Struthio camelus: one gene and its partners. The protein of the gene in region 1 purifies or fractionates together with the protein of each later gene. This does not show direct contact. Links are inferred from orthologs where the notes say so. Each region holds a gene or a part of one and is shown in the gene's direction. Other genes may lie near its edges.

Region 1 (7,138 bases):
CTGTAATGAAAAACTTAAAAATATTACTTGAGAAAAGCACATGCAGAGATGCCCAGGAGAGTGCAGAGAGCCCGGCAAATTATCTCCAAGAAGCGGGAACAACCTCATTCATCTCTCCAACACTCAGATACCCTGTGATGATAATTAAAATATCAACACGGTTAATTATTTTAGTTCTTAAGTAAATCTCTGTGTGCTAGATCTAAAGCACAGGAAGGCAAACCAATATAGCTCTGTAGCTTCTTGACCAGTTACTTCTAATATGGAATAAGAAACACCAAAAAAGCCTCTTTTTGTCCCAGAAAAAAAAAAGATTTTGGTAAGTATTCATGTAGGATTGTCCTAGTACAGCTGCACTTGTGTAACTATATCACAGTAATCAATAACAATTTTCTGACAAGAACATGAGGCTTGGCATTTGGCAGTAGAGCTGACATGGCTGATCCGAAGAGGTGCCATGTCCCCTACACTTCCAGCTGTCCCCTCTGATCCCTCATCTCCCTCTCCAGTGCCCTAGTCAAAAACACTTGTGTGGCTAGACAGCTGGATCAAGAACTGATCCAGCCGAGAAACCGTCCAACAAGAAATAAATGGTTATTTTCCAATCAACACTACTGAAGCAAGTACTGTTCCCAAGGGAAAAACAAAGACATACATCAATCTGTGGCCTAGAAAACAGAACAGACAGTTACAGAACTACATAAATTATAGTGCAGGAGAAGTTGCTTTGATGCTACAGCTGGATGCATTTAGAAGACAGCCACATTCTTCTGTGCTAGTCAGGAATGAGCTACGTCCCAGAAGGACAGTATTGCCCCTGGAGACCACCATGCCCACTGAGGGGGAAGTGAAGCTCATATAGGCAGTTGAGACACAGAGTTACACAAGCACACTTTACTCTGAATGAGATCTCGTTCTAATGATTGCTTAGTTGGAGCTTGAAGAGCATCATTACATTTTTTTCTCCACCAGTCCAGGCTCTAGTAAAATGTTTTAGTCTCACTTCTCTTGCACACTTTCATAAATCTTGAGCAAGTTAGTTAACTTTCCATTCTCATCAACAGTTCATTGTCTAGAACTATGGGAAAGTGTGATAATTAAAAAAAACAGCATAAAACAGTTTCTAAAGGACACCATGGTGAACGCAGTTCAGACATACACCAGTGTCTTCAAAAAAGGTCAACTTAGGTCCAAGGGTTTATTGGCTCTGGCTCAGTGCTGGTTTTGCTAGGTTTGGCAAGTTCTTATACAGCTACCTGAATGCGTCTGTGCTTTCAGGTGCATGGGAATTGCTTCGTGTACACACCATACATGTTCATGGAGCCAGCTTGGGTCTAGTGCATCTGAGTCAATACATCCCCTGAGAACCTGAGAGATGAGGAACACACTGTAAAGACACTCAGGTGAACCTCCAGGGAGTCATTTTGAAACCAGGAGGACTAACATGGATCAGGAGCTAATAAGGCCTGCTGATCTGGTTGAGCACATCCACACTATGTTTCCCAGTGCCTCTCATCTAGCCTGGCCTAGCAGCAACATACCTGTGGTTGTATGGCACTGAGTTAAAAAGTTCTGCTGGAGTTGACCTAGCTCGGTGTGGAGCCAGCTGTTGTGTTTCTATACTTGCAGTAGCTCTATCCTCTATGTACTGGTTAAACCCTGGCTGTGCAAGTAAGGCTACAACAAGTGCTGTAGCACATGTCACAAGATGGCGCTCTTTGATGCGGTCTTCCAAGCTCCTCTTGGGCTGCAATCACACTTTAGGAAGAGTTGGCAAGTTTGGGGTTTATGCAAGGCATTTTGGGTTGAGATCCATGGAGGGAAAGGGGCCGTATGAACACCTGAAGCCTCTGCTCTACTGTTTGAGGAGGGTGTATTCACTAAGGGCCACCACTCCCCTACTCAGCTTGCTGTTCTGCCATCTGCTTTTAGGGCTTGTTTGCCCACTGAAGCGAAGCACAATGCATTTAGCAAAATACACATAACTGATTTTTCCAATATTGAAAAAAGTTGATGTTCAAGACCCCAAACATCTGCCAACCCTTCATACAGGGGCAGCAATAGCATTTGAAGAAGAACTACCAACAATTGTGCTGCGTTTGAGGATGTTAACAGCTTCCATGAAGTCAGTCTTTGATCTGTAGGTAATTACAAACTCATCCAAGCCAATGGGTGCGTTAAGCAATTTGCAGCCAGACTGAATAAAGACATGAAATTTGTCTTTGTATTATAGCTGGAAACAAGGAGAAGTCAGTGCCCAAGACAGTTTCTGATCACATTTGCTGTGGGACCCATTAAAGGCTTGTCTATATTTCAGTACTGTTGCATATCAAATTTACTTTATATTAAAATGGCACCTAAAATCCTAAATAAAATGTTTGATTGGAAATTATATGCTGTCCTAAAGAGAATTATCGAAACCACTTTGGAAACAATTTTGTTGAGCTGCCAAACGAATTAACCTGCGGAGCAATGTAGACTCCTCTCTATCCCACAGGAAGTGCTGTAGCAGGTCCTTTCTGCGATGTCCCAGGATGCACTGGAATGCCTTTCTGTGTAGCTGTCTCACCGTTCCCCAGCCAGGTGGTGGTTTTTGTAACTCCAGCTGCAAAGACCTTCCCAGGCCCACACGTCCTTCCCAGGCCCCCTGCCATTCATGCTTGGTTCCAGCGCTCTAGACTGAGATGCTGGACTTTGCTGACCTCTCAGGGAGAGGCAGATATATTTTTCCTTTCTCTTGACTTAGGCAAGCAGGTATGCCAAAGGATCCTGCCCAGAGTGGTTTTCAGTACTACAGACAGAGAAAGGACTCCACTGGACAATGAACATGCAAAATACCATGACTGTGCCGCAATTTAAGGCAATCTGCTCTTACTAGGATGTCTTTGAGGGTGTCATTCCTAAATACGTTGACATTTCTCTGCTATGGGTTTCTCCAGGACAATTACTAAAATGCAAAGGCTGACCCCAGTTGTGTTTGTGAGTGCGTACACAAGGCAAGCAAAGCCAAGGCATGAATAATGGAGCTAGGAAACAGCTCTGTTTGGGCCTGCTACTTACTGGAAGGCAGGCTTGGACTTCTCAGCACATAAGGCACCTGCTGTTATTGGCTTCTTTCTGGTATGAACACGGAAAGAGGATTTGACTTTCAAAAAAATATATGCAAAAAATATTTTACTGAAGAATCACTGGACCCTTATCCATCACATCTTTTCAACAACAATTGGACAAAAGCCTAAACAACGATTAACAACTACGGCAAGAGAGTGCCACAAATAACGTATTCATCCCAGTATAATATTTAAGTTCTTCTTATGATATTAAAAAGATAAATGCTAATTGTTTGTGAATTGTCACTTCTGGGCAGGCCCAGAAAAAAAAAAAATCTACACAGCTTAGATTTGGTGTTTTTCCTACTCCACGGGAGAACCAGCTGGGAACAGACTTCCCCTCGGACTAATTACCTCTAATTGTGACGCTCTTACCACCTTACCAATTTCTGCCACCCTTTGCTGTTATGCTGCTCGAGCCTTGCCCTGCCCCATCTGAGGTGGTCGCTGGCCAGAGCACCAGCGCAGAGCTTCACCCCGCACCCTGTTGCCGCTTCTCCTGGAGAGGTGACCCTCGCCCAGGGCAGCCCTGGTGGGACTGGGTTTTTCTGAGGAGGGACGAAACGAGCAGCAGGAAAAGAGGCGCTGGAGAAGGGCTCGGAGAGCCAGGGGCGGGGGCAGCGCTCGCAGCCCGCGCGTTGCGGTCGGCGATGCGTGTCGTGACCGACCCCCGGGCCCTCGCCCAGGCCCTCCGCCGCCGCGACAGCCTCGTTCAGCTCGGCGAGAGGATGGCGCTGCCCCCTTCCCTCCTCCCTCCCTTCCTGCCCGCCCGCCCCTCATGAGGCCGGCGGCCCCTCTCCCGCCTCCCTCCGCGGAGGCCGCGCCGGGAGGGCAGCGGCGGCCCCCCGAGCACCGCCACCATCCCGCCGCGGCCGCGGGCGGCGGCCATGAGCAGCGCCCGCCTCGCCGCGCAAGCGCCCTACGCGGAGCAGCGGTGCCTACGATTCCCAGCTTCCTTTGCAAAGAGCTTTTTTTTCTTTTTTTTCTTTTTTTTTTTTTTCCTCCTCTCTCCGAGGGGGCAGGATGGGTGGGGAAAGCGAGAGCTCACGAAAGCGAGGCGAGGAGGAATCCCACAATACCAGGCGGGTTGTGAGCTCGGAGCTGCCGCTGTCTCTTTAATGCAGGAGGAAGCGATGCGGAGGGGTGGAAAATGGCAGAGTTGCAGATGTTACTAGAGGAGGAAATCCCTTCTGGCAAGCGGGCTCTGCTCGAGAGCTACCAGAACCTCACTCGGGTCGCCGACTACTGCGAAAACAACTACATCCAGGTGAGGGGCGGCGGGGGCAGCGCCCGTGCGGCGCACCGGGGCGCGGAGGCTGGCGGCAGGGCGGGGAGGCAGGGCGGCTCTCCGGTGCGGGCGGCGGCGCGGAGCCGGGGCCGCGGCCGCCTCTGGGGCACCGCGGCGCCCCGCTGCCCCCGCCGCGGCTCCCTGCCCGCCCCCGCCCCTCCGCCGTTCCCCCGGATTTGCGTTTTCTTTTAACTTTTCTCGCTGAACGACTGGATTTTCCTCTCCCCCGCTCCGAAGGGGGGGGGGTTATTATGTCAGTCCGGCTCAGAGGGTGTGTCTTTTTTTTTCTTTTTTAAATTTATTTATTATGAGTCACATCCCGGAGACCTCCCTGGGCGGGGGGGGGATGGTGGTGGGGCTTGTGAGCCGCGCCGTGTGGCCGGGTCAGAGCCGGTGTCTCAGGTTTCCCCGTCAGCCGTCGCCCCGCGGCGGCGCGGCTCCTTCGGGGCAGCGCGGGGCGCTCGGTGTGGCGGGCGGCGAGGCGGGCCCGCCGCGGCGGTTGGTGGCGGTTGGTGAGGCGGGCAGCGCCGCGCCTCACGTGGAGCGGCGGCGCGCGGCTTTCGCACCTGAGGCGCGGGGGCCGCGGGCGGCGCTGAGGGGCGGCGGGGGGGGGCGGCGGGGCACGGCGCGCGCGCGCGGCTGACATCACGCAGGGCCGTCGCCCGAGGGACCTCGCCGTGGAAATTCTGCTTTTAATCCCGGCCGCGTAATTCTCGCCGAGGCCCCGCGAATCACTGTCTTGGCGTGATGCGCTGCAGGTTTGAATCGTGAAAAGGAGCGGTTTGTGAGAGCAGGAAGCGGCCGGCATACCGGTGCTAACGTGTGAGCGTGATGTGGTATTTCAAAATGGCAATCTGTGCCTCTTGGAGGCTTCCTAGTTCAACCATCCTATGACAGTAATTTTAGACCGGCTCTCTGTTGCTGGAAGAGGCTCCATTGGTTGAAGCTTGTCTACACCAGTCAGTGCGTATTTTTTTTTCCCCTCGTAGCTTGCTGGTGCTTCTTGGCCTTGCTTTAAGTCATTTTTGTGAAGCTACTTTAAGCACACTTTAATTTATTTTATTTTTTGAGGGTTTGGCTTTGCAGCATTTAAGTCGGAATGTAGATCTGTATATGTAGCCATACTGATGTGGATTCAGAGCCACGAAGAGATGCTCAGATTAAACATTCTTTCATTTTTTCTTAAAAAAAAAAAAAAGCAATTAAATTACACTACTTACTAGACAGCTTGTAAAGTTGACTTGTTGAATGTAATACTAGACTACCTGTAATGAGTACTTAATAAGTGTTATTAAAATCTTTGGTGTCCATTGTTGCTAGTACACTTACTATTTTTAATAATGGAGCAGCAAACTTGAAAACCAGGCTATAAGAATCTGTACTGGAATCTGTTTTCTTTTTTTTTTTTTTAATATGAGCTAATGTTGGTATTTAGATTAAAGCTGTACTAACGAGCCGTGTTTTTTAAGACTCTTTTTCTGTGAGGCAATAAGAGTTGATGTGTATTTACTCTTCCGACTTGTTTGCTCCACCCAAATAAAGCTGCTGATATAAATGCTTCTAAGAGGCGAGGTTCATTTAGTTTTACTCATGGGAAATTATGACAAATACATGAGTATGGTAATTACAGCACAAGTTTTGACCCGTCTCCTGACTTTTTCTCCTGTGTTAAAAAGTTGCAGAGTATCTTCGGCTATATGATTTTTTTCAGGGTCCTAAAACTTGCCTTCTCTTTTTCAAGCAAGCAAAAAACATTTAAACTCCTTCTCATCCAGTTGTTTGTCAGGATTTTTTCCCCCCTCTAGCTCATTTTCACCTCAAGTATCAGGGTCAATTGGATATGGAATTGGTACAGTCTGATGGTTTATCTGTGTACAGCTGTGTTTATCCTTTTTGGAAGGAAGCTGAAGTTCTAAAATTCCTAATAAGGATTTAAGCAGCAGCTCTGAAGAATGTATACCTAGCTTGCATGGTGCACAGATCAGACTCAAGTCAGTAAAAATGGCAAATATATCTATAAAACTGATTTTTTTTTGAATGTCTGGTAGAGGGTTTTTTTGGTTTTTTTTTTTTTCTTTTTAATCAGCACTTTGTGCAAAGCCATCTGCTCTCCAGTTGGACTACTGAACAGATTATACTTCCTGTGCCTGTGGTCGTGCCACTGCAGGATTAGGCAATATGACACTGAGAGTCTGGGTTGTGAGGACTGGGAGAGTGTGTGTATGTATGTGTGTGTGTGTGCGCGTGCGTGTGTGGTATGGGAAGGGAAGGGAGGAAAGAGGAAGAGGCTTAACCAACACAAAATGTAAACTGTTTGTGTTTAATATAATTGAGTTAGTAACTAATAGTCAATGCAACAGGGAGCATTTAAAAAGAAGGGGGTAAAAAAAAAAAAAAAAACAGGCCAGAATGGAGAACCTATATGTTAAGTGAGTGCTAAAATAGTTTAGGATTGGCTATGTGTCATAATTTGTCCTATGTAACTGACTCAAACTGTCCTCTTTGAGTTTGGATAGCTTTGAGTCTGGATAGTTTTCTGTCTTTGTATGGGAAAGATTGTGTGCTATTTAGTATAAAATCTATTATTCTGTACTCAGACCTCCTCTGCATGGTGAGGTTGAGATGGAACAAGTTTGATTATTCTGTTTGCTGGTATTAACAATTTACAATAATTATAATAGCACTCATTCACTCAAAACTCTTGATATTATTATTTTTTAATTCTTTGTTTACTTTAACA
Region 2 (8,013 bases), on another chromosome or scaffold:
AATGCTGGCCAATCTAGCGTGTTTAGTGTGATGGTAGTGCTACTTGATGTGTTTTTTAAAAGCTTAATTCGCTATAGTCCTGTGAATGCACCAACACCTTGTCTTTCATCAGAAAACAATAGTTAGCTCTCTCCTTCAGACATTTCTCCTAGAAAATATAAAATCTACAGGCCCCAAGCCCAAATAAAAGTGTCAGCATCCTTTTTATCAACACTTTGTGTTTATTAAAAAAGACCTCTTGATTTTATACGCTTGACTCAAGAATTCGGAAGGCTTGGGGTGAGCAATATAGCTAAGGTTATTCCCCCTCCTCCACTAGAGAAATGTGTCTTCAGAGCCTTAAACAGAAAATGTGTCTTCAGAGCCTTAAACAGAAGGAAAAACAAAACTCAGAAACTTCTGTACATTCTGGCACAACAGATCAAATAACTGTTTTCAGTTATATGTTCTTCTTTCTGCCTAGCCTCTTTTACATGAATATGAGATATAAGGAAAAAGATATATCTGAGGTTTAGTGCTCTACCTCTCTACCAATAATATACAATTGTAATAAAAAACATCTGTCCTACTTCCCTGTGAGGAGCACAGCATAGATACAAAAAAAAATTGATCGTCTGCATCTTATTTCATTTTTGTCTCCCTAAGATAAGAACATGGAGGCATCAGAATGCGTAACGTTGTTTGAGTTTGCTTTGTAACCTGCAATTTATTTGCCTAAATTCAATTACAGTCTTATCCATCAAGCACAGTGTCGCTCTTGAGAGGGGACAGATCAAAATCTAGTAATCACTTACGAACCTGCTGAGCTTTACTCACATGAGGTCCGTCGTTCCTGTAGGGCTTTTCTCATGCCTCAGGTTTATTTCAGGACTGAGTCCCTGATTTCTAAATCCAAGTGTCAGCCAACTTGCTGTTGGAGCAGAGATTCAGTAATGCAAAAAATTAAGGATTTGGGCCTGATTCTATTCCTTCTGAAGTTAACAGCAACCCTCCTCATAACTTCAGCGGAGAAGGGTCCTTTATGTTATGTTACTAGCTGATTATTGTCCACAAAGGACTGTGTCGAAATGACTGCCAATTCATAATGTCACAGAACCCTTGTCTTGCTGGCAGCCTCTTTATCATCACCCATTTATCTTTAATCCCAGCCATAAATTTACATAGTTTGTAGCTGATGCATTAGTGCATTAGTAACTGGAATGCCTGCATAGGAGGTTTACAAGTCATAGATTATGGCAGCTTCTGGCTGAAGAGTTTTAGGCTCAGGTGGGACGATAAACAGCTGGCTCGTTTATCCTAGCCAGCTCACTCAGATAATCTCTCTCATGTATGCAATAATATTCCGGACCAAGGAATAAAAAACTGATAACCCTCGGTGGCTAGACTGAGGAACAAATAGGGTAAGTTTATGTTTATTGCTGCAAGCTCCAAATTAAACGCAACACAAAACAGAAACTCCCAAGAGGTGTATAGCGCCAAATTCTCTGAGCTGGGGATGCAGGTGCCACAAGGGCAAATGATTGTCCCTTCTCCTTTTTCAGATTTCACACTTTTCTGCAGTCCCTAATGTAACTTAGACAAATGACGGCAGCTCTTTGAGATGCTGTTATCTATCACAGTTGCGTGCAATCTCTGCGGAGTTCAGCATCGTGAGTACACTCGGATGAAATGACGCCACCTCGTTCTGCTCTGATATGTTCTCTGCCGTATCCTTCAGCTCTTCGGAAGATTATTTCTTGGCTGGAAATGAGGCTTCTGGGACTCCGTTGCACTGCTTCGGCTCTTACCTGGGATAAAGGGTATGAGTCACTGAGGAACAAAACGTTTTCCCTGCAGTTCAAAACTATGTTTGGAGTCCTGTGTCTGTAAGGAAACAGTTATAAACACACCAGGTTCATTCATTTTCACTTCCAGGTTTAGATCTTTGTTCTACTTTACTTAATTTGCCTGAACCAACCTTCCCTAGAAAGGTTATTAAAGAAAATTTAAGTAACTTCTGTAATTTAATATTAATCAACCAAGTATGAGCTCTCCAGTAAAGGAACCTCCTGTCTAGTTCTTAATGTTCCAAAGGTCATGGGGAGGGACGAGTTGTTTTATAATTTCATTTTATATTGTTTTGTTGGCAAAAAAACACATTGCAGTGTTTGCCAAAAACTAGTCTTTGGAGAGCAGAACTGAGGTGCCTAATACATTTAGATACTTACAGAGCCTCCCCCCCCAACACGTCCAGACCAAATCTATCTCACCAGTTTTGAGTCCATTATGTTATTCATAGTTTTACTATTCAAGTAGTAAATCTGAGTTTATAACAGTTACATTCACTTCTTAGTTTCTACTGAAAGTGGTATAAAAATAAAAAAAAAATATTCTGATGGGACAAAGAAAGAGGCATTTAAGCAACGTATGCTAAAAACAGATACAACCCAGACAAAATCCCAGTCAGACTACAGCCACCTCTGGGACTAGAAGAAGCTCTGTGCTTAGTCTTCAAATCCTCTGGCCTGCATTGTTTTGTAGATGGGACTATGTTTAGCCTTTCAGCAAAAGCTTTCCTTTGATTCCACCTAAGCAGCAAATAAATTGTTTCCCTATGTGGGATTTTTTACCTTTTTCTTGTTGTCTTTTTTAGAAGCATAAAAGAATGAAGTAACCTGCACCAATAGCCCCTTTTGTTTGTCTGCCTTGCTATGGATTACAGAGGATTAGCCCCAGATTTGTATGGTCCTGTATCAGGAACAATTTAGCTTTTTCTTAGTGGAGTTACATATTCCTTAAAAGTAAGAGAACAATCGTGCCTGTTTTATATATTTTTCTCTTGAAAACTCCGTGGATACATTAGCATCTGTTTTTAAAAAAAGTGGAAATTCCAGTATAAAGAGGTTAAGCTTAAATCTCTAGGCTTGCGGCAGCCAAAACTGTACAATTTGAATACTTGCCCATCTATTTTCACTACAGTCTGAATATTGGCACTCCCTGTGAATCTGCAGATTTGTTATCCACATGCCTTGCATTGCACGTGCACCTGAAAAGGAGGTTGCAGCTGGCTCGGGCCAAGGTAACTTGTGCTTGGCACAGCTCCATGGTGGAAGGGAGAGTAGGCGAAAAGTCTCTCTGCTGGGTTTGCCAGACAGTTGTGTAAGTAAGCAAGTCATTTATTGTCTATAAGTCATTCTGCAGGTTCCCAGTATAGAAAATACGTTCAGGCTAGTCTGTAACAAAATAGGGGCAAAATCCTTGGAATATCTTTTTTCTTTTCCCTAAACAGGAGAAGGCTCATGAAAATTCTTCTTCATCTCCTGTGTTACAATGTTCTGATTTCTGTTTGGCAGCATTATTAGCTTCATAAACGTATCAAGAACATTTTATAAATACCCATACCTACTGTACACATCCTGAAGAAAAGCTCCCAACACACAGGTTCTACGTATGTATAGAAGTAAGTACAATTCATTCTTCTGCAAATCTTTCCCTCTCTCTTATTCTTTTGACTTCCCTTTTCTCATCCTCACATTCTATTTTCTTTCCGTGTTCCTGTTTGTTTCTCCTGTTGCTTTTGAATATTTTCTTCCCAAATTAAAAAAAAAAAAGAAAATTACCAGCCCACGTGGTTTTCTGCATGTGTCTTGTGTCCCTTGTTAGAGGGAACTGGAACGGAGGTGGTCTTGGGCTGCTATCCAGGGATGAAGGGGGAGCTGGAAGAGATCTGTTGTGTAAGATTCAGCAACTTTACCACTGCAAACACTAATTGAGAAATGCCTTCCTTCCTCCTTTTCTAAAAGAGTGTTTGGGAAAATTGGTGTCCTTCCTGGAGGAGCAGTCAGGGGCATAGCTCCAGCAGCGACGGCTCTGGCTTCACCTGCCTCTGCAAATGAGTCACTGAGTGTTATAAAAAGCCAGGCCCTGCCAAGTTTCATTTCTTGGAACTGAATGGCAATTTCAGAAGCAGCTGCTCTTTCATTAGTTTATACTTTTTTCCTGTGTGGGTTTCTTGAAGAGGGCCTGGAATCACAGAAACTTTATAGCATAAAGGACCTGTTGCTGCATTTGGATAACTGTGACTCCACCCTGCAAAGGGTTATGTGTTTGGCCTAGATCTGTAAAGATTTACGCGCTTCTTAATTTTGAGTTTCGTGAGGAATCTCGGGGAAACCTGGAAAGGCGACTCAAAGAACGTGATTAAGCAGGTGTGTAAGTCTTTCAGGATTGCCAGTTTCATCCTATCAAAAATCTGCAACCGAGCCTTGGAAATCAGATTAGCTATTTCATGTATTACCTCAAGGGGGGTTCCCTTCATCTGTCTGATGCTGTAAGAGTAATGTTTTCTAGCTTTTCTTGTGAGTCATAAGGGACAGAAATGTCTTTGAAAATGAAGCAAGTGAAAACTTGAGATTCGCAGGGAACAGCCTGATTTCAGGAGTGGAAGCGGCTTACTACCATCAGCATCATAAGGCTCGTGATAAAAATCATGAACGCGGCAAGAGCGCAGAGCGAGAACGTGGGCTACCTGTAAGCACGCCGCCGGTGCCTCTGCCTGGGGCTGCTGCCGTGTGCAGGGTGACAGGCGCGTGTAACTCGGCAGGGCCCGCAGCAAAGTGGGTCCAGACGGACCCAGCAGCAACAGCTGAGAGATTTCATCGGGGACTTCAAGGGGGGAAGGGAAGTTTTGCGCTCTCAGAGCGGGCTCCTTCCGAAGGCGGTTTAAGATACAGCTGCTGCTGCGGGGAAGGATTTAGCTTTGCAGCCGCGGTAGGTTTTGCGTGTGGTGGTGGGGTTGTTAAACGCTGAAGCTCAGTTTTTTTTTTTTAAAAAAAAAAAAGTCACCTATTTCAACCCAGCCCCGGGGAGCTACGCTCAGCCCCTCCGTACTGAGCGACGCCTCGCAAACCTCAGCAAGGAGCGGGAGGTCAGCGGGCTGCCGCTCCGCGGCGGGCACCGCCGGGCGCTGCGCGGGGCCGGGCCGGGGCGGAGGGCCGGCAGGGGGAGCTGCGCTCCGCTCCGCGCCGCGGCTGCTCCGGGGGACCCGCGGTGGCGGCGGCGGCGGCGGCGGCGCCCTGCCCGCGCCGCCCCGGCACTTTGTTCCCGGCGCGGAGCCGCCGCGCTCGCCGCTGCCCCGTTGCCCTGCGGCGGCAGCGGAGCCCCCGCGGAGCCCAGCGCTGCTAGGGTCTCCCCCCCCACTCCCTCCTCCTCCTCCTCCTCCAGCGCGGGAGCTGCGCGGCGCATCGGCGCCCGCCAAGGTAAAAAGGGGCGCACAAAGGCGGCCGGTTCCCCCGGCCCCCCTCTCCGCTTTTTGTTCCGCCTCCCAAAAAACGCCGCCGCCCGAAGAGCTCGGCGTCGGTCGGGACAGGGCCAGCTGCGGGGTATTCACCCCCAGCCGCCGCCGCCAGGTTCAGCTGGGGCGGGGAGAGGGCTGGGCGCCTCCGCGGCTCGCAACTCGCTCGGGGGCTGCGGGGAAACTCCGCGCCGCTGTGCGCGGTGGGTCTGCCCGTGGGACGGGGGGCAGCCTCCTGCCGGAGCCTTTCCCCACCGCGGTGCCTTTCTGTACGTGTATATCTATATGTATTTATATGTATGTGTGTGCGTATATATATACATATATATATATATTTTTTTTTTTCTTTCTTCTCTCACCTCCTTTTGCGGTAAGCGGAGCCGCGGCCGCCGCACCTGCGCGCACCTTGCCCGCAGGCTCCCCGCGGGAGCGCTGCCGGCCGCGGCGCTTCTGGGCGCCGGGCGAGGGTCTCCGCCGGTGGGCAATGCCCGTGGCCGACCCCCCCCCCCCTCCTCCTCACTCACCTTCTGTCAGGTGACTTGGCTTTCTGTCCTTATTGTTCCCCCCCTCCCCCCAGTGCTTAAGCTTTTTGCAAAGATGATGTGAATCGTTCATAGCTGGCAAAGGGCAGCTCTCAGGGTGGGCTAATGCTTTCGTGTGCCTGTGCTTCTTCTGGGCTGTGCCCGGTTGTCTTCCTCTATTCAGCCCTTTCCCACTTTTTCTGATAACTTTCCCTGGCGCTCTTCCTCTTCCCCCTGTCCTCGCCGCAACACGCTCCCTTTCATATTGGCACCAGCGTGCTTAGGGTGACCTGGGCACACAGCGGAAAACAGGTTTGTGGCCTTTGGCTGAGTGATCTAAGGGTGCTCCTGGCCCCCCTGTAACCTGTATGGGGTTGGGTTATAGCTGTGAAGAAGCAGCATGCTGCAGCTTCCATTAACCCCTAGCTTCAAGACAGTTAGTAGCAGGCACAGAAGAAGAATGGAACAAGTTTTGCCTGAAGCATGTTGTTTGCAAATCAACCGCCCCCAAAAACCTCCCCCAAAACCCTGCTTTACCCCAGCTTGTGGCTTTTGAAATCCCCAGAGGCTTAAAGATGCAGCAGGATGACCTGTCGTGCAGTCTATTTTGTTTATGCAAAGTGAAATATTGCGGATAAAAATACTACTTCTCTGTGTTTTTTGCAGAAATATTAACAAAATGATGAATCTCGGGTTTCTTTGCAGCACAGAGCATGTTTTAATTGTGCCTCTCCTTCCTTTTGTCATCAAAAATACGGTTCTCCTCCCTTTCCTATTGACCATCTTTCTTCTCGTTTGTGATTGTGCAACATCTATATGTCAGCTACAAAAACTGCTTACATGGAAAAATATAAAAATGACCATTTTTGTAGTTAGCAAATATGGAAATACAGAATCAGCACCCTGTGACCAGTCTCCTTTTCATGGAATACCAGTGAAATGCAGCAAGCAGGGCCCTATGAGAAGTGGTCCTCTGCTGGGCCATGCCGGGAATGGTTTGGCCCTTTCCTCTCGAGGAGCAATGGGGGACTGCAAGAGCTTCCAAGATGTAAGGGAGATGCAGCTTATCTCATCCTGATGTCTGTGGTGGTAGATTTTTTTTTTTTCTTCTTCTTCTTTTAATGTTGGTAAAGACCTCAGTGTTTAAGTTAAATGTGACTGCCATTGTTTGGGAGCAGTTGCCAGACTCTCTCAGGTCACAGTGAGTGTAGCGTTATTAGCGTACCTGTATCTTCAGGTAGTGAGATAATGTATTCAAAGTGCTATGTAAGCAAACTGCTTCTTGTTTTTGCTGATGGAGGCTATGGAAATATAACTGGCTTTGGACAATATGTGTCACGTAAGTCGTAATGATTTTGCAGTATTGGGTTATGCATTCTCTTTAATTCAGAATAAATGTTTTTGATTGCATGTAATTTAGAAAGCATCCAGAGAATCCCATTAGATTTAAGTGAAGAGAGCTAACGCCCCATGAGTAATAACACGCCATAATGATTAGGTGTTAGGCTATATATAACGATCATAAAGAGTCCAAGGTTCATCTAAAGATACTTAACTTCTATGGTGAAGCACATAAATTGAAAAATTACAAAAGTCTTCTGTTTGGATGGCAGCTGAATTCATGAAATATGCTTGACTTTCCGTCCGTAGTCCAGCTGTAGATGGCAAGTCATTCACGTTAACTACTGAAAGCTTACTAGAACCTAAACATCTGAAGTTGAATAATTGATGCCCTGAGGGCCAAAATAGACTGCATATGTAAGAACTTTTCTCTTCAACTACTGCAGTGGAGTAACAGAAGACTTGAAGTCCGCACAATAAAGACTACCCTAAAAAGTGCTTGCTAACTTCAATTTTGGTGCCTAGTGCTTACTTCTCATATGTGCCTTATTAGAATTTCTGTGTCACATAACTCACCTGTCTTACAGAAGGACTGGTCAAAGATACAAGATTCCCTAAAAGCAGCAGCTTTCAGCCATGCCATACAGAAAAATGGCAGCTTTTGATGTGTGATTCCTCCAAACTTTGGAGTGCAGCAGAACCTCTTCTCTGCTCTGCATGGCCGGTAGCAAGACAGAAAAGAAATATCACACCTAGGAAGTGTGTTGCCTACAGTACAAACAGCACGCGGGTCCCTATCCTGATATGTCGGTCCAGAGAGAATTGCAAAGGTGCTATGTTTGAGTGTATTTTCTGCAGGTAGATAGGCTTGGTTGTCCT
Region 3 (7,500 bases), on another chromosome or scaffold:
CATGTGAATTTGTAAGACAAGGAGAGAAAAAGCAACATGTAGAAGAAGTCTTGAAATACTCTCAAATTGTCTTATATAGTGACAGGGAAAATGGGACCTTCTAATGCAAACAGAGACACTCTTGGTAGGAAAAGGTCAAAGCCTAAAGTTTGTATCGAATTGTTCTTCAGTCTTTCAACATCAGAAGATAAAGAAAGGACCTCCACCGACATCTTTGAACTGAGTATGGGGGGACTCAACACTGCGGAGTGCTATGGTCCAGCGTGAGAGACGATCCCATGATCTGATTATCTGATATCTAAAAGGCACAGGAACCTTCTCCTGAACTAGCATGTTTGGAAGGAATGAGCGAGAGTGCTCCGGAAGGATTGCCACAAGACTGAAACATTGCAGACTGTGTGCTCAGTGCTCTAGTGAAAATCAGAAATGTTTTTTCCCACTCCAAAGAGTAACTGGATCATCAGAAGTAAAGCCTTTTCTCTCTCTTCTGTGAACAAACTGGTGAATCCTCTAGGAACTGTCATGCTCAACAGAAGAAAGAAAGTGCTATGTGAGGTGGACTGTCTGGGTCCTTCATGCTGAGTTCCACGTTATGTGGCAACAGCGGAAGAAGGTGTAGACAGTATCCATGTCCTGGTACTTCAGTTAAAATCCACATTTTTCACTGCAAGACAGAGACATGTTTTGACATAATTGACCTCAAAAACAAAAGTGTGGGTGTTAGCATCCTGCAGAATTTGTAAATAAGATCAGGACTTTCTGCAGAGCATTCAGAATAACTAGAGAAGTCAAGAGGACTGGTCCATGATATATGTATATATGCAGTATGTATTTTTGATGTTCCTCTGTTTGGGGAAGGGAGGACATGAGTAAACCTTATGTGACAGCAGTTCACAAAAACTTTTGAGTTGCAACCTTCCAGCAGCAGGTTCTGATGTTGTTACAGAAGCCAGGTTCAGAGATTTTTGCCAACAAAAATGGAACAAGGAAATGTAATTCCATGATCTCACTTATCCTGTGTCAAAATGTTTCTTCATAGAAGGAGGTTTTATTGCTGTTATTTTTCAGATCCATGGTTCTAGGCTGGCTTTTGAGAGCCAGAATATCTTGTCAGCTGTATGAATATGGGCAAGGCACTAGTTCCGATCTTAAACTTATCTTCCTACTTCGCTTTAATTACACATTATCTTCTTTGTTCTACTTCTACAAATATCATCCAGAGTAATTCTCCTAGACAAGGTGAATCCTAGCATTCAGACAAGAGGTGAGTCATGCCGAAATGCAGGATCAGAGTGCTACGTTCCAGTCAGGACTGCTGCCAAAAATATCGTGATAGTCTGGACCAATAGGTAGAATACGAGCATCTACAAATTGGTTTTCAATTCTTGCTTACAGTGAACGTTAGCTGAGTTTTTCTTTGGCCCCCTCATCCTTTTAGTCTGAGTTAACCCGTTGCCATGTTCCCGTGGTGCTAAATTTTGCATTTAGTCAGTGAGGTTTTCAATAGCCCTAAGCATATGGCACTGCACATCCACAACTAGATTGGAGGACACCTGGCCAAAACCCTTTTTTCTCCCCCAGCCCAGGTTGCACTTAGAGGATACGTACAACTCCCAGAGTATTCTGAATACTTCTTCCCTGAGCACAGGCACTCTCGCTGTGGCAGGTGTACCCACAGGTTCACAAAGTCAAGCTTCTGGCATGCTATTCCCTCCACCTTAGAAGGAACCAGGGATCTGTCAGTCCTGAGGAGGTTGCTATTAAGCAGCAGCAATATTGCTCCGCTAGGCAGTGGTTTTGAGACTATATTTATGTTAGGATGAGGTAAATGTAATATTTATTAGCTATTACTGTTGCACAAGATAATATTGTGAAGTCTCATGTTCAGATCTTCTTTTGTAGGAATTTCTTTATAAACAGTACATATTTTTAAAAGCAATAAATTGCTGTGTCCCGACTGTGGCTTTCACTATGTGTTAACATAAATGCAAAAACAATTTTATGCTGTTATAATCCTACAGCCTGCCCTTCCCCAAAATCCTTCCCACCAAGAACCAAACAAGCCTGCTCTGGTTCAGGAAATACAGCTGTTCCCCAGACCTATGCCTAGGTTCTGGGGTTAGATTAGGTGCTGGGTTCACTGGGATTAGTAAGTAATCAGAACCTCTGAAAATTGAGTTAATTTACTATATAGACACATAGACACAGATTTCTAAGTTTGAACATCCAATGTAGTGGCTTTAAATTCTTTAGGTCTTTCTAAAACGGGGAGGATAATATTTGAATGCTCCCAGACAATGTTTGCCTGCTAATACTTGCAAGATACTTCAAGAATCTCAAAATGATGGTGCCATACTGTGACAACTGCATGATACGAACATACTGTTAACACAGTCTTCTCCCACCCTCGCAGTTTATATGGCAAGTTTAGTTTCGTGCACTTCATGCGGCTTAACCATAGACATTCCCCACAAAGCAGAGGTGAGAATATCAGCTGTGTCCTGCAGGAAAGAGAATAACCTTCCTCTGTCTCCTTCAAAAGTATTTTGTCCCAACGTGCTCCTGACCTGCTGCTGCGATGGTTGAGTGCTGGCACGGTCAGGTTTGCAGCCTAGCTAGGAAAAGGCGGTCGAGCAGTAACCTCATCTAGAAAGAATGGCTGACCCTTCTCCGTGGGGACCAGTGGATGGAGTAAAGCAATGTCAGCTTTCCTTTGAAGCCATAACAAGTGCTTTCCTGGGCACATGGTGGTCACCCCGGGAAGTGGTGGTTGTTGGTGCTTCCAGCCTCCCTGAAAGCTGAGCTTGCCCAGTCAGAGCTCCCCGTTGCTGTTTGCTCTGCTCCTACTACTTGCAGAGCAGAACATGATGAAGAGGCCATGCAGAGGTGCTGGTCCCACGTCACTGCCACTGGCACTGGAGTCAGCTGCTCTCCTGCCCTGGCATGTAAGTGCTTCTCATCGTCACACTGTGTTGGAGAGGGCCAACGACTCCAGGATGCTGATCAATATTTGATCTATATTTGATACATAGCAACGAGTTCCATATGCAATGAAATGCAATTTCTTCCTGTCCTGCCTGTTCTTTATCTACCCCTTTGAGGACCTTTCTTTCCATAAACCCAACGATAATGTAGGTTTCGACACGTTACAGGTAGCATTTGGAACTACCAAAGTCACAAACTTACTCCCCAAAATCATGCATTGCCCAGTCTTCCTTTAAACATTTCCAGTTGTGGGATTAGATGCACTGCAACACTTAGGAAGCATTGCAATAAACATCCATTTGCTCTTCATTAAATATCCATAAGTATCCACTTGTTCCAGTCGTTAATTACCTTTTTCCGTAGTTCTTTATTCCTAGTGCTTTATTCCCAATTAGGTCTAGACCTGCACGGTGAGAAAGAACTGAGACATCTGCCTTCACAGTTGGAAGACAGAAAAATTTGGCCTGGAAAAATCCAAAATTTCCTGAAACATTTTGTAATGAATATATTCCCGTGTGATGTATGGCTCTGTCTGTACTCTCCGAACTCTGCTCTCTACAACAGGGTGGGGTTTAGGTGGAACCTTCCTTGCTAATTCTCCTTGCATGGATGAGCTCAGTGTATTGTTCTGTTCACCTCACAACACCATGACGTTACCTCTTGCTCTCACATCCACACGCACAAATAGCTGATGCCCACACTGCATCTGATGCACACATCTGTATCTGCATGTGGTCTGCTCCTCACCAGCATTCTTCCCCTTTTGCAAAGAGACCTGCAGGACAAATGCAAAGAAGCTTATTCTATGATCTAAGACTACAAAAAGTAGAAAATTAAAATAACATAACATTCACAGAACTCCCATCACCATTAGCCTGGCTGATAATGGGAATGAGTTAAAAAAAATAAAAAAAAAACGAAAACACAACAGTTTTCACTGCCACAATTTTCTTGAATTGACCTTGTTTCATCCACGGCCTCAGAGTAATACTAGCTGTTAAATCTCTTGCATCTGCAGTTAGAATGCTAATTTACTGAATCTTTCTGACAAGCAACAGATAGTGAAAAGAGGAACTATGGCTGAAAAATGTTCCAGTTAAAGCTGATGTAGAAGACTGCTACATAGGGGAAGGAAGAAGGGTCTGTTCCTAGAGTTGCTATTAATAATGTTCAGGTGTTGAGCTGTCTATTTAAAATGAAGACAGTTTTGAAGTTCTGTCTTGCTGCTTTTGGAGCGTGCAGACCCTAGTGCATCCACTCTACCTATCGCAGCAGAACTACAGCACAGACCTGGTGCCCAAGCTTCCTTCTGGAGCCAACAGAGCTTACACCCAGAGCTTACACTGGGAGCCTGTGCTCCTGAGCAAGCTCAGACCCAAGCTGTCACGGGCAACAGAGCAGCAGGCTTTCTGGTAAGGAATCAGCAGTGGTTATTCAAAGCCAGGAAAGATCCAGATGTAGTCTATTTTTAGCATAGACCAATGTTCAGGAAAGGAACGCTGCCAGGGACCACTGTGGAAATATATCTAGACATGCCCTGGGCTTCCAACAGCCTTGGATATCCACCGATGTCTTTTTAACATCTGAACCTCTGAGAGCTACAGCAGAATGAATGAAAGTCCTTTGCAAGGTTTGTATCAATCTGCACGCAGAGATGTTACTCTGGAGGTTTTAAGAGGTCCATTTTGCATTTCACACTAGATCTCAACAGCTGTATTGGAGCTTTAAAAAGAATCACAAGCAGAAGAACTGGAAGCTTATCCCTGAAAAAAGGCCAAAAGGAAGATCTTTTGGATGTAGTGCTGACTCAGAAGAGGCTCGGAGCCCTGCGCAAAGGCATTGTCTTCTGGTTTTCATCCCTTACATGGTCAGCGAACCAAGGCTTTATATATATTATGGAAACAGGACTGTCATTAAAACAGGGTTTTAAAAAAATCTGTCTTTGGCACAAGCCGCCTGCCGTGCACAGCGCCTGCATGCTTGGCAGCCCGGCAGGCTCGGCAGCGGCAAGATGGGGAAGCGCGCGGCCGCTCCTGCTTCTCAGGCACCTAACTGCATTCACCTAGCGCTTCCCGGGGGCTGCGGGAGCCGCCACCGCCAGCGGCAGCCCCAGCCTCTCCCGCTCATAACCCGGGGCTTTTCGGCCGTTCTCCCCCGGCCAGTTCGGCAAAACGGCTCCCTTCTCCTCCTCCTCCTCCTCCTCCTGCTCGCCGGGAAGGGCGGCCGCGGCGGCTGGCACCGCAGCCCGAGCAGGGGTCGGGGCGGCGGCGCGGAGCCGCGGGGGGATGCGGCCGCCCCTGCGCGGGGGCGGCGGCGCCGCGCATCCCCCGCGCTGCCCGGGGGAGGAGCCGCCCGCGCGGCTCCAGCCCCTTCCCGCGGCGGGGGCCGGGGCTCCCCCCCCCCGCCGCCGTGCGGAGGGGCCGGCGGAGAGCCGCGGAAGTGCACTTGCTGCAGCCATTTCCTGCTCTTTGTGCGAGCGGCGCGGAGCGGCGCGGAGCAGCGCGGCATCCCGCGCAGCGCCAGGTGAGCGGGGCCGCGGCGGGGGGCTGCGCTGCGCGGGGGCTGCGCGGGAGCATCCTCCTCCTCCCCCTCCCCCGCGGCTGCGCGGGGTTGCGCCCGCCGCCGCCGGCCCTGGCGCGCTGGGCCGCCCGCGCGGGCGCAGCGGGCCGCGGGTGCGGGCGCCGGGGCAGGTGCCGGCGCCCGGGGCAGCGGCAGCGAGGAGGCCCGGCGGCGCCGGGATGTGCGCGGATGTATCCCACAATGCTTAGAGCCACCTGCAGTATCGAGCCTCCCTTGCATTGATTGCACAGAGCCGGGGAAAAGACCCAAAATCGCACCGCCTGGTTGCGCGCATCCCCCCGCGGAGGAGGGGAAGGGCGACGAGCCCCGGGCCGGGATGCGCCGCAGGCCCGGCCGCTGGCGGCGATGGCAGCGCTGGGGTCGGAGCGATGCTCCGCGCGGGAGAGATGTGGGTGGAGGAGATGGAGGACCGGCGGATGCACTGGGCCGAGGAGCGAGAGGTGGCCCTGGCCCCCGGTCGGAGCTCCCATCACCAACAGCATAGAAAAATGGTGTCCCTCGGGGAGGAGAGGGGAGGAGAAAGCCGTGGGGTGTGAGCGGGGCTTGGGAAGGATGGGCCCGAGCTCTGGGGATTTTGTGCTGTCAGAGATTTTTCAAGGTTTATGCTTTGGTGTTGGTTGGAGTTGGCAAAACCTGGGTGCTCCAGAACGACTGATTTTCCACGCATGAGGCAATCTGTGGTCGAGATGTGCCCCGGTAGCGTTTCTTTGTGTTGAACTTTCAAACCAAGGATGTCAGTGATGAGTTCACTGGTGGCAGCCACATCCCACCTGAAAAGGAATGAAAAGATTTCACAGGAAATTTCCATGGGTGGAAGGGATCAGAAAGGAACGATGAGAAGAAAAAGAGGCACATACTAAACCGTCCGTGCTGGCTTAGTGATTGAGAGTCCTCTTTACTGGTTGTTTTTGGAAGGGGGAGGGTGTCTGGGGGCAGACGTTGAGGTCCTGCTGAGTAAGTGGATACGGCTGCTAGCAGCAGAGCTTGTCCCCCTTTGCCATCTGTTACTTTCCACGTGGGGGTTTCAAACCGCAGCTTTTGGATCACAAAGATCTCACCGAATTGTGTTTGGTCGCTAACTCACCAGAGCCCTGGCCCTGCCTGCCCTGCACAGATACCAAAAGAAAAAGCACGCTCGTATTTCACGTTATGACAGTTGTCGGAGGTTAGTCACTGTGATGGGTGATTAGAGCTGTGTTTTGATGTCTGTCATAGCGTTATAATTCTTGGGTAATGCTCCACAAAGGAGAATTCCTTTCTCCCTTTCTCTGTACAGTTAATTGTCATTAACGAAGCCCAAGGAATCTGGAAATATCTTCCATTTTCTGACCAGGGTCTCTTGAGCAAACGAAGCTATGCTGATTTCGTAGTAGTAATTTTATTAACAAACACCTATCATCTCTGCATGAAAAAAAGGCAGTTCCTTTTTTCAGTAATTGGCGAACTGTTAACAACACTATCTTTGTGCAATTTAATTTCCCAAGAAGTGCTTTAACTGTCAGTGTTGCAGACTGCTTGTAAACTGGCTCTGAATTTTTCAGCTATATCAGAAATGTAGCTTCCAGTGACAACTCTTGAGCGTCTTTCTTTGGCACGAGAAAGATTTGATGAAGCTACTCTACAAGAAATAAATTCCAAAATGATTCTGTTGATGAGAGAAAGACAGCACAAATGCCTGGAACTCAGCCTTAAGGGGATGGCAGAAAACGTAGAACAGAGATACAGAAAAACACCTTGAGGAGTTGTGCAGTTTGGTTTCCTTTTTTAATGAGAAGGACAATTTTATGGTTCTTAACGTCTGTGCCTGTGTAAGGCAGGAGCCCGGTTCTGCCAGTCTTATTCATCCTGGCTTTTTTTGCTCGTGCAAAGTACCTCCTGCCTGTTGTGCTGGTTGCAATTACAAGTAATTCTTACAGCATGTGAGGAGAGAGGGAA
Region 4 (6,963 bases), on another chromosome or scaffold:
TCCTATTCCTTCTGTTAAAATGCTTTATTTTTTGTTATATGGATGTAATTAGAATCTAGTGCCTTAAAGTCAGTTGCTATGATCAACTTTCAATGACTTTGGATATTAGTAACACTTAAATATGTAATTAGTACATATTTAGAAAGTAAACGTATTGCTGATACGGTTTTCTATTTTTGCAGCTGTTAGGACTTTTTAAAAATATATTCTATGAGTAATGGATACTTCAGAGAGAGAAGTTTATCGATTAAAATATAGTTAGCTACTGCTTTGGGCAGTTGAGTGAATTGCATCCAGTTTGACTCTCTCCAAGGCCGCTACTAGCTAAAACTTTAAATAGTCTCAGTGGACATGTTTGCATATTATAAAGATCATCATCATAACTAGCATTTACTACTATCAGAGAGAAGCAAAGAGTATATGGCTCTAAATGTGTGCATTAGCTTCTTACATTACATTCCTCAGTTCTTCTGTAAACCAACCATTAGTATTGCAAACTTAATAACTCAGAAGTAGAAAGTTGGGTCATATTCAAGGTCTGGAGTGTCAATTTTTCTTGAAGCCGCGCTTATTCTTAATATTAAACTTATGTCCATGTATTTTGAAGAAAATCAACATTAAGAACTTTTCTGAAAAGTACAGACTTTAACAATTTTCCCCCACCACTATTACTCCTTTTTCAATTTCTGTGTGTCAGTTGTATGACAAGTTGTCTTTTGTTGATGAAATCGGAATTGGATCGCAATATGGGACTCCTGCTTAAGTATGCTGTTGCTGAGCAAAAGAATGCCACTTTCAGGCTTTCTTAAAGATACAAAAGCTGATATTCCAAAATCTGAGGTGACTGGTATGTTAGTATCAGTCTTAAGTTTCATCTGAAGAGGTGAAACTACTTTGGCCTACACCCCCCATTTGGCAATATATTGGTCTCTGAATATGTATTAGTAATAACATGTCTGTAATATAGATGCATATTCTGGGGGCTGACCTGCTGGAAAGCAGCTCTGCCGAGAAGGACCTGGGTGTCCTGGTGGACGAGTTAACCGTAAGCCAGCAATGTGCCCTTGTGGCCAAGAAGGCCAATGGGATCCTGGGGTGCATTAGGCAGAGTGTTGGCAGCAGGTTGAGGGTTGAGGGGGAGGTTGATCCTTCCCCTCTCCTCAGCCCTGGTGAGGCCTCACCTGGAGTCCTGTGTCCAGTTCTGGGCTCCCCAGTCCAAGAGAGACTTGGCACTCCTGGAGAGAGTCCAGCGGAGGGCTACCAAGATGATTAGAGGGCTGGAGCATGTCTCCTCTGAAGAAAGGCTTGCGAGAGCTGGGCCTGTTCAGCCTGGAGAAGAGAAGATTGAGAGGGGATCTCCTCAATGTGTGCAAGTATCTGAAGGGAGGGTATCAAGAGGATGAGGCCAGTGTCTTCTCCATGGTGCCCAGCGACAGGACAAGAGGCAATGGGCAGAAACTGAAGTGCAGGAAGTTCCATCTGAACCTGAGAAAAAAATTCTCTCCTGAGAGGGTGACAGAGCATTGGAACAAGTTGCCCAGAGAGGTAGTGGAGTCTCCTTCCCTGGAGATATTTAAACCCCGTCTGGATGTGATCCTGAGAAATATGCTGTAGAAGACCCTGCTTGAACAGGGAGGTTGGACGAGATGATCTCCAGAGGTCCCTTCCAACCTCAACCATTCTGTGTGATTGTGTGTGTGATTCTTTGGAACATAGATCCTGTTCCTGGTACGCAGCCTGAATAGCAGAGTTACGTGGTTTAGTGATATTGTGGTGAGAAGGAAAATAATCTGGCCCTACATCTCTCCGATGTGGCAATGCATACATTATGACCAAGTGTCTGGTATGTATTAATGTGGTGGATAGGCATACCGTATGCAAAACTCCTCAAGAACTTGTACTTTCTAGGTGTGCTATTTCTGCTATGGCCATCGTCCTCCAAACGTGTAGAATAGGGGCTAAACTTTCCCATATACTGGACTAATTATTCTCGGTAAGTTTGATTAGCATTGGAGAAGTTCGTGTACTGCATCTTTAGTATAGCCAGCAATAGTTGGAAAATTCACTTAAATAGTTAATAGTAAGTAGCTGGGAAGTTTCCCTCAATGAGTATGAAAACCTAAAGGTCTCTTTGTTCAGGGTTTGTCATTTTAGTTAAATAGCTATAATTTATCAAAATGTGAATAGAGAATAATCATATTTTGTTGTTGTCCTGTTCAGCACACATTGTGTTTCAGTCGCTCTGCTACAGCTCGATATAAACACTGATTTTCACTTTCTCCCTCACTGGCAGATCTGAAAAGCATGTACGTATTACTAGAGCTTCTTTATGAGCCATATTTGTTGTATTCATAGGAACGTCTAGATGGTCAGATTAATATCTTGTTAGACATTGTCATTCATCCTATAATCGTAGAATATCCGCCAGGTTCTCATCTTGCCTTCTAGCAGGTGCTCTTTGCTCTCAAAGATAGCAACACAAGATTTCGTGAGGCCGCTTATTTAAGCGTCTGTATGAGGCTTCAGTGCCATATAGTATGTTTGGGTGAACAAGCTAACAATCTGCGCAAAGCCTCAGTAATGTCAGGTTTCAAGAACGTTATACAATCTCAGACATGACTAACTGGAGTTCTTAGGCTAATATCATCTTGTATAAAATTCTTACATTGTTAACACTCTGAACTTGAGGCACGAACCCCTGTCTTTGCATTTCTTGTATTTCTGTATTTTAAAAAGCAAGAGATTTTAAACGTGATATTTTCTGTAGGCTCAGCCAATTCAGAAATGTCCATGTAAGAATGTAAATTGTTAAGAATTTCTTGTGGTAGCAATTTCATTAAGCAGCACCTGCTGATAGTTCTTGCCTTCGTTTGGCCTGCAGTTGTATGGCTTTATAACAAACTGGATTAAGGTACTCATTCAAAGTTTTGTTGTTTTTTGTTTGCTGGATTACTTTTAACCTGGAATAATTTTATGATCTGTTTCTCAAACAGTTGTACCTGCATGGCTGGAGTAGGAGGATGGGGGAAGAAGCTGCAGGAATTCTCTCTGTGCTCCTTAAAAAGTGTTTATTAAATTATTGCCTTAAATATTCACTATCATTTTATGCAAAACTTTGCCAAGAATTCTCTTCAAATCTTTTGCTGCGCTTCTGATATCTTGAAAGTTTTGCTGTTGATTTCAAAAGGATCAGGTTTTTCTTAAAAATAAGTGGACTGCGGAAGCTGGATGGTTTGAGGGTTTCAGATTTTAACGTCATAGCATCAGCATTGGTTTAGGTTAGACCGTTTCTTTGTGTGTTACAAGCTTCAGGTGAAAGGATGCAATTTATTGGTGGCAATTCCAAACTTCCTTCCCATTTCATTTTACATTGAATACTACTTTTCTATGGGAAATAGTCCGATAATTCTTAAATAATTATCATAGTACTAGGAAAATCAGGTTCATTTTCCTGTATCTTCTTCCATCTACTCTTCTTTTAATCCCTAGTGAATTTAAAGTCTTTTCATAAAATCCTAGAACTGATGGCTAGAAGGGACCTCTGCAGGGTGTGTGGTCCAGCCTCCTGCTCAGCTCAGCCTGCTCGAAGGCTGTATTCTAGGTCCCTGACCATCTTGGGAGACGCTCTCCAGTTTCCTAACGTTCTTCTTGAAATGGGAGCCCCAAAACTGACAACAACATTTATGTGCGTTGTCTAGTTGGGAGATAGTAACTTTCCATGTTCTGTTTGTCCTAATGTAGCCCTGTGTGCTGTTTACCTTACTTGCAATGGAAAAGCATTGCTGACCAGTATTCAGCTTGGTGTCTGCTCTGACCCCCAGGTCCATCTCAGCAGGACTGCCACTCAGCCACTTGTCTGCCAGCCTGTACTGACGCGTGGGGCGAGTCTACCTCCTCGTACTTCTTGGGTGAACTTCACAAAGTTTCAGATGACTCATTCCTCAAGTATCTAAGCATCCACCTTATTTTTATTGTTATGTAAGTGTGTGTGTATGTATATGCACACATATAAAAAAATATAAAACATACAATAATATACAATATATATATACAATAAAGTGTATATACAATAATATAATAATATACAATAATATAATTGTATTTAATTGTATTGTATTTAAAAATATAATATAATAATATACAATAAAGTGTATATAATACAATACATTATATATTAAGCATATATGCTTATAAGTAAGTATATGCTATACTTAATACAACATATTATCTGTAATAGATATGTTTGTATATATCTGTAAATGGAATATATACACACACACGCGCGCGCGTATGTATTTACCTTAAAAAACCAAAGGATAAGAGCTGGAAGTTCTGTGCAGTTATACCAACTATCTGCTGTAATCTGAAGAAGACTCAGGAAACAAAGATGCATCAAAGTGAAAAATGGTCTTGAACATCTTGAGGGACCAGTCCTAAAAGGGTGGGTTTTTTAGATTTCTAGTTTAGAAAAATAGACAAAACTTCCAAACTTTTAAATGAAACAGAAAATGGATCGACAAAAGGAGGTTGTGAGAGTTTTTCAGTAAGTCTCACCACTTAGTGAAACAAATAAATAAACTGAAAGACAGCAGTGCTTTAGTCTTAAGAATTATACATAATGAAGTTGGATAAGTAGATAGAAATCATTCAGATAAAATATTCAGTAGAATCTTTTTTCTCTTTTTCCTTTTAAAACATGTCTATTTTTCAGAAAGAACTCTAAGGGGAAACAGTTTCTACATACATACAAGAGAGTTTTGTGAATAATCTTTACCAGAAATTGATTGTAGGGTAGTGTTGGACCCCAAGCATTTTGTAAAAACAGTCCTTGGTTTTTTTTTCATTGTCATCTTACCCAGGGTGGTCTAAAGGAGGTGGGGTGGCACTGAAATGCAGATATTCCTCTGGAGCGTTCTGGTAGAGAAACTATACTTTTGATATATCAGATTGGAAAACACAAAGAGCAAATCAAAGTTATGTCTTCAGAACTCTACATATGAAGATGCAGATTTCCCCCCCCCCCCCCAATCCTGTGGCTGAGAAACACAAGAATTGAGTTAAGAGGGGAGAAGTACAGGGGAGGTGGGCTTGAGTAGTACCTTTTAGATGCAGTAAAAAGCTTACTTTTTGGTAGGCTTCTTAAAAAGAATTAAGCATGATAATTCTTTTCAGTTTATAGTTTTCCCCTAAATAGAAATATATGGAATACGGGATGTAATCATGCTCATCAGAATGGCCTTGAACATTTTCAAGAGATTCTTTGTTTTTTTTAACGTATTTGCTTTTCAAAACATGTCATAAGCATGATCAAAATATCTTTACCTTCTGTGATTTGTGTTGGATTCAGTATGTGTCAGGTATTTGCAGGTTCATGTGTTCGATAGCCTTATTGTAGTTATAGGGAGGTCTAGTATTTCCAATTTTGTTGAACTGCTAAATTTGAAGAAATTAATTTTAAAACCTTTTATTGTGCAAAGATTTGAATTCAAGAGTTAATTGGTTTCTTTGAAGGAAAAGTGGGAAACCAGCTGTTTGGAATGTGTATAGTTTTAAACTTTACCAAAACAATTACATTTTTAAAGAGAATCATTTTATATTTCCTCTCTTGTCTGCCACAAAGAGAGTTTATAGTTCTCTGAATTTTTGGAAGCATTGTTGGTAACTGTATTCCATGTTCTGTATCTGAAATACTTTCTTTTCTGTTTTGGAATTTGAGCTATCATCAGCATAATACGAAGGCAATATTTTTCTGCTGGTGTAACTCCAATTAATTAAGTTATTCCAGGAGAAGATTTAGTCCTAAAACTTCACAGTCTGAACTCTAGTCCAGATGGGCTTTGAAGATAAACATTTAGTTCATCTGTGAATTGTGTTAAATTATAGTTAAGTATATCTGTAATTATACTTCAATATTTTGAGATTTCAGTTAAAAAAATTAATTCCATTTAATGGATAATTGATTGACTATTCTAACTGTTTTCTTTAGAGGTAATAGCTGAAAAGTCATAAATGTAATCTATCTGTAAATAACAGCGAAGTGTTAAATTTAATTTGAATTAGAGCAGTTCACTAGTCAGTGAGCATATCAACTTCAATTACCATCTCCTGTAGCATTGTACATGTGAAATTCTGTTCTGCTATTCCAAAATAATTCTTAGTAGCTGTACTGAGAATTAGTGTTCTTTATGAGATTTGCGGTAAGGAGGCTATAGCATGCTGCTTCTGTGAAGGGAAGATCAGTCAAATCTACAATAACCTTTTCTCATTCTTTGATGTAAACTTGGGTAATAAGAAACTATAAAAAGGAAATTAAGTTACAATTTTGAAGTTATGATTTAATGTAACAATATCCAGTAATCTTCTTCTGTCTTTGTAGGTACTATACAGACTTAGTTTTCCTCTAAAGACGTTTTAAAAAAAATCTCCAACAAACCCCAAACCCTACCCTTATGCAAAACTGCATTTTATAAATTTCATGCTGAGAGATGTTATAAAGAAAGTAAAAAGACAAGATTTTCTCTGAAAGTCTTTAAATACGTCCTGGAGAGTAACAATTAAAACTGCTTCAATGGGTGTCCTTAAACAAGGCACACTTCTGTTTTTATTTTCATCTTGATAGCGACCAGAAGTTACTGCCAATTAGTAGCTGTGTAGTGGCCTGCCTGAAATTACTTGGTAGTAGCCTTAATAGTAGTTACACAGTCACTTTAACGCGTTATTAATCTGTGTTCCTCTTCAATGCTATCATCCAAGTAGACTGTCTGTCTATATACTACATGTGCTGCATCTGTTTATAGCTGAATAAATACTTCCTTTTTGGGGAATTTAAATTCTAACAGCTTTCAAAAGTGCTACTGGCACTCAAAGGCGAAAAAACAGATGGATATTTCAAAGATAATGGTACAGTCAGAATGTGAATGTCTACAGTAAAACCTGCTTTATTACCATGTATTTCAAATAAGA

The links.
Region 2: the proteins of ABI1 (region 1) and EPS8 purify together in Homo sapiens (affinity purification with western blotting; 4 studies listed by BioGRID, with this or other methods). This does not show direct contact. The link is inferred for Struthio camelus from reciprocal best matches to the Homo sapiens genes ABI1 and EPS8.
Region 3: the proteins of ABI1 (region 1) and CYFIP2 purify together in Homo sapiens (co-immunoprecipitation; 4 studies listed by BioGRID and IntAct, with this or other methods). This does not show direct contact. The link is inferred for Struthio camelus from reciprocal best matches to the Homo sapiens genes ABI1 and CYFIP2.
Region 4: the proteins of ABI1 (region 1) and WASF1 purify together in Homo sapiens (affinity purification with mass spectrometry; 6 studies listed by BioGRID and IntAct, with this or other methods). This does not show direct contact. The link is inferred for Struthio camelus from reciprocal best matches to the Homo sapiens genes ABI1 and WASF1.

The regions. Positions count from the first base shown.
Region 1 is NC_090943.1:19,262,654-19,269,791, forward strand, and holds the start of ABI1 (abl interactor 1), read left to right. Parts: upstream 1-4,128; 5' UTR 4,129-4,260; coding exon 4,261-4,377; intron 4,378-5,068; exon of another isoform or gene 5,069-5,361; intron 5,362-7,138. UniProt on the Homo sapiens protein: May act in negative regulation of cell growth and transformation by interacting with nonreceptor tyrosine kinases ABL1 and/or ABL2. May play a role in regulation of EGF-induced Erk pathway activation. Involved in cytoskeletal reorganization and EGFR signaling.
Region 2 is NC_090942.1:71,951,200-71,959,212, reverse strand, and holds the start of EPS8 (epidermal growth factor receptor kinase substrate 8), read left to right. Parts: upstream 1-5,011; 5' UTR 5,012-5,237; intron 5,238-8,013. UniProt on the Homo sapiens protein: Signaling adapter that controls various cellular protrusions by regulating actin cytoskeleton dynamics and architecture. Depending on its association with other signal transducers, can regulate different processes.
Region 3 is NC_090954.1:11,239,220-11,246,719, reverse strand, and holds the start of CYFIP2 (cytoplasmic FMR1-interacting protein 2), read left to right. Parts: upstream 1-4,498; 5' UTR 4,499-4,615; intron 4,616-5,368; exon of another isoform or gene 5,369-5,508; intron 5,509-7,500. UniProt on the Homo sapiens protein: Involved in T-cell adhesion and p53/TP53-dependent induction of apoptosis. Does not bind RNA. As component of the WAVE1 complex, required for BDNF-NTRK2 endocytic trafficking and signaling from early endosomes.
Region 4 is NC_090944.1:60,413,651-60,420,613, reverse strand, and holds the start of WASF1 (actin-binding protein WASF1), read left to right. Parts: upstream 1-3,961; 5' UTR 3,962-3,976; coding exon 3,977-3,978; intron 3,979-6,963.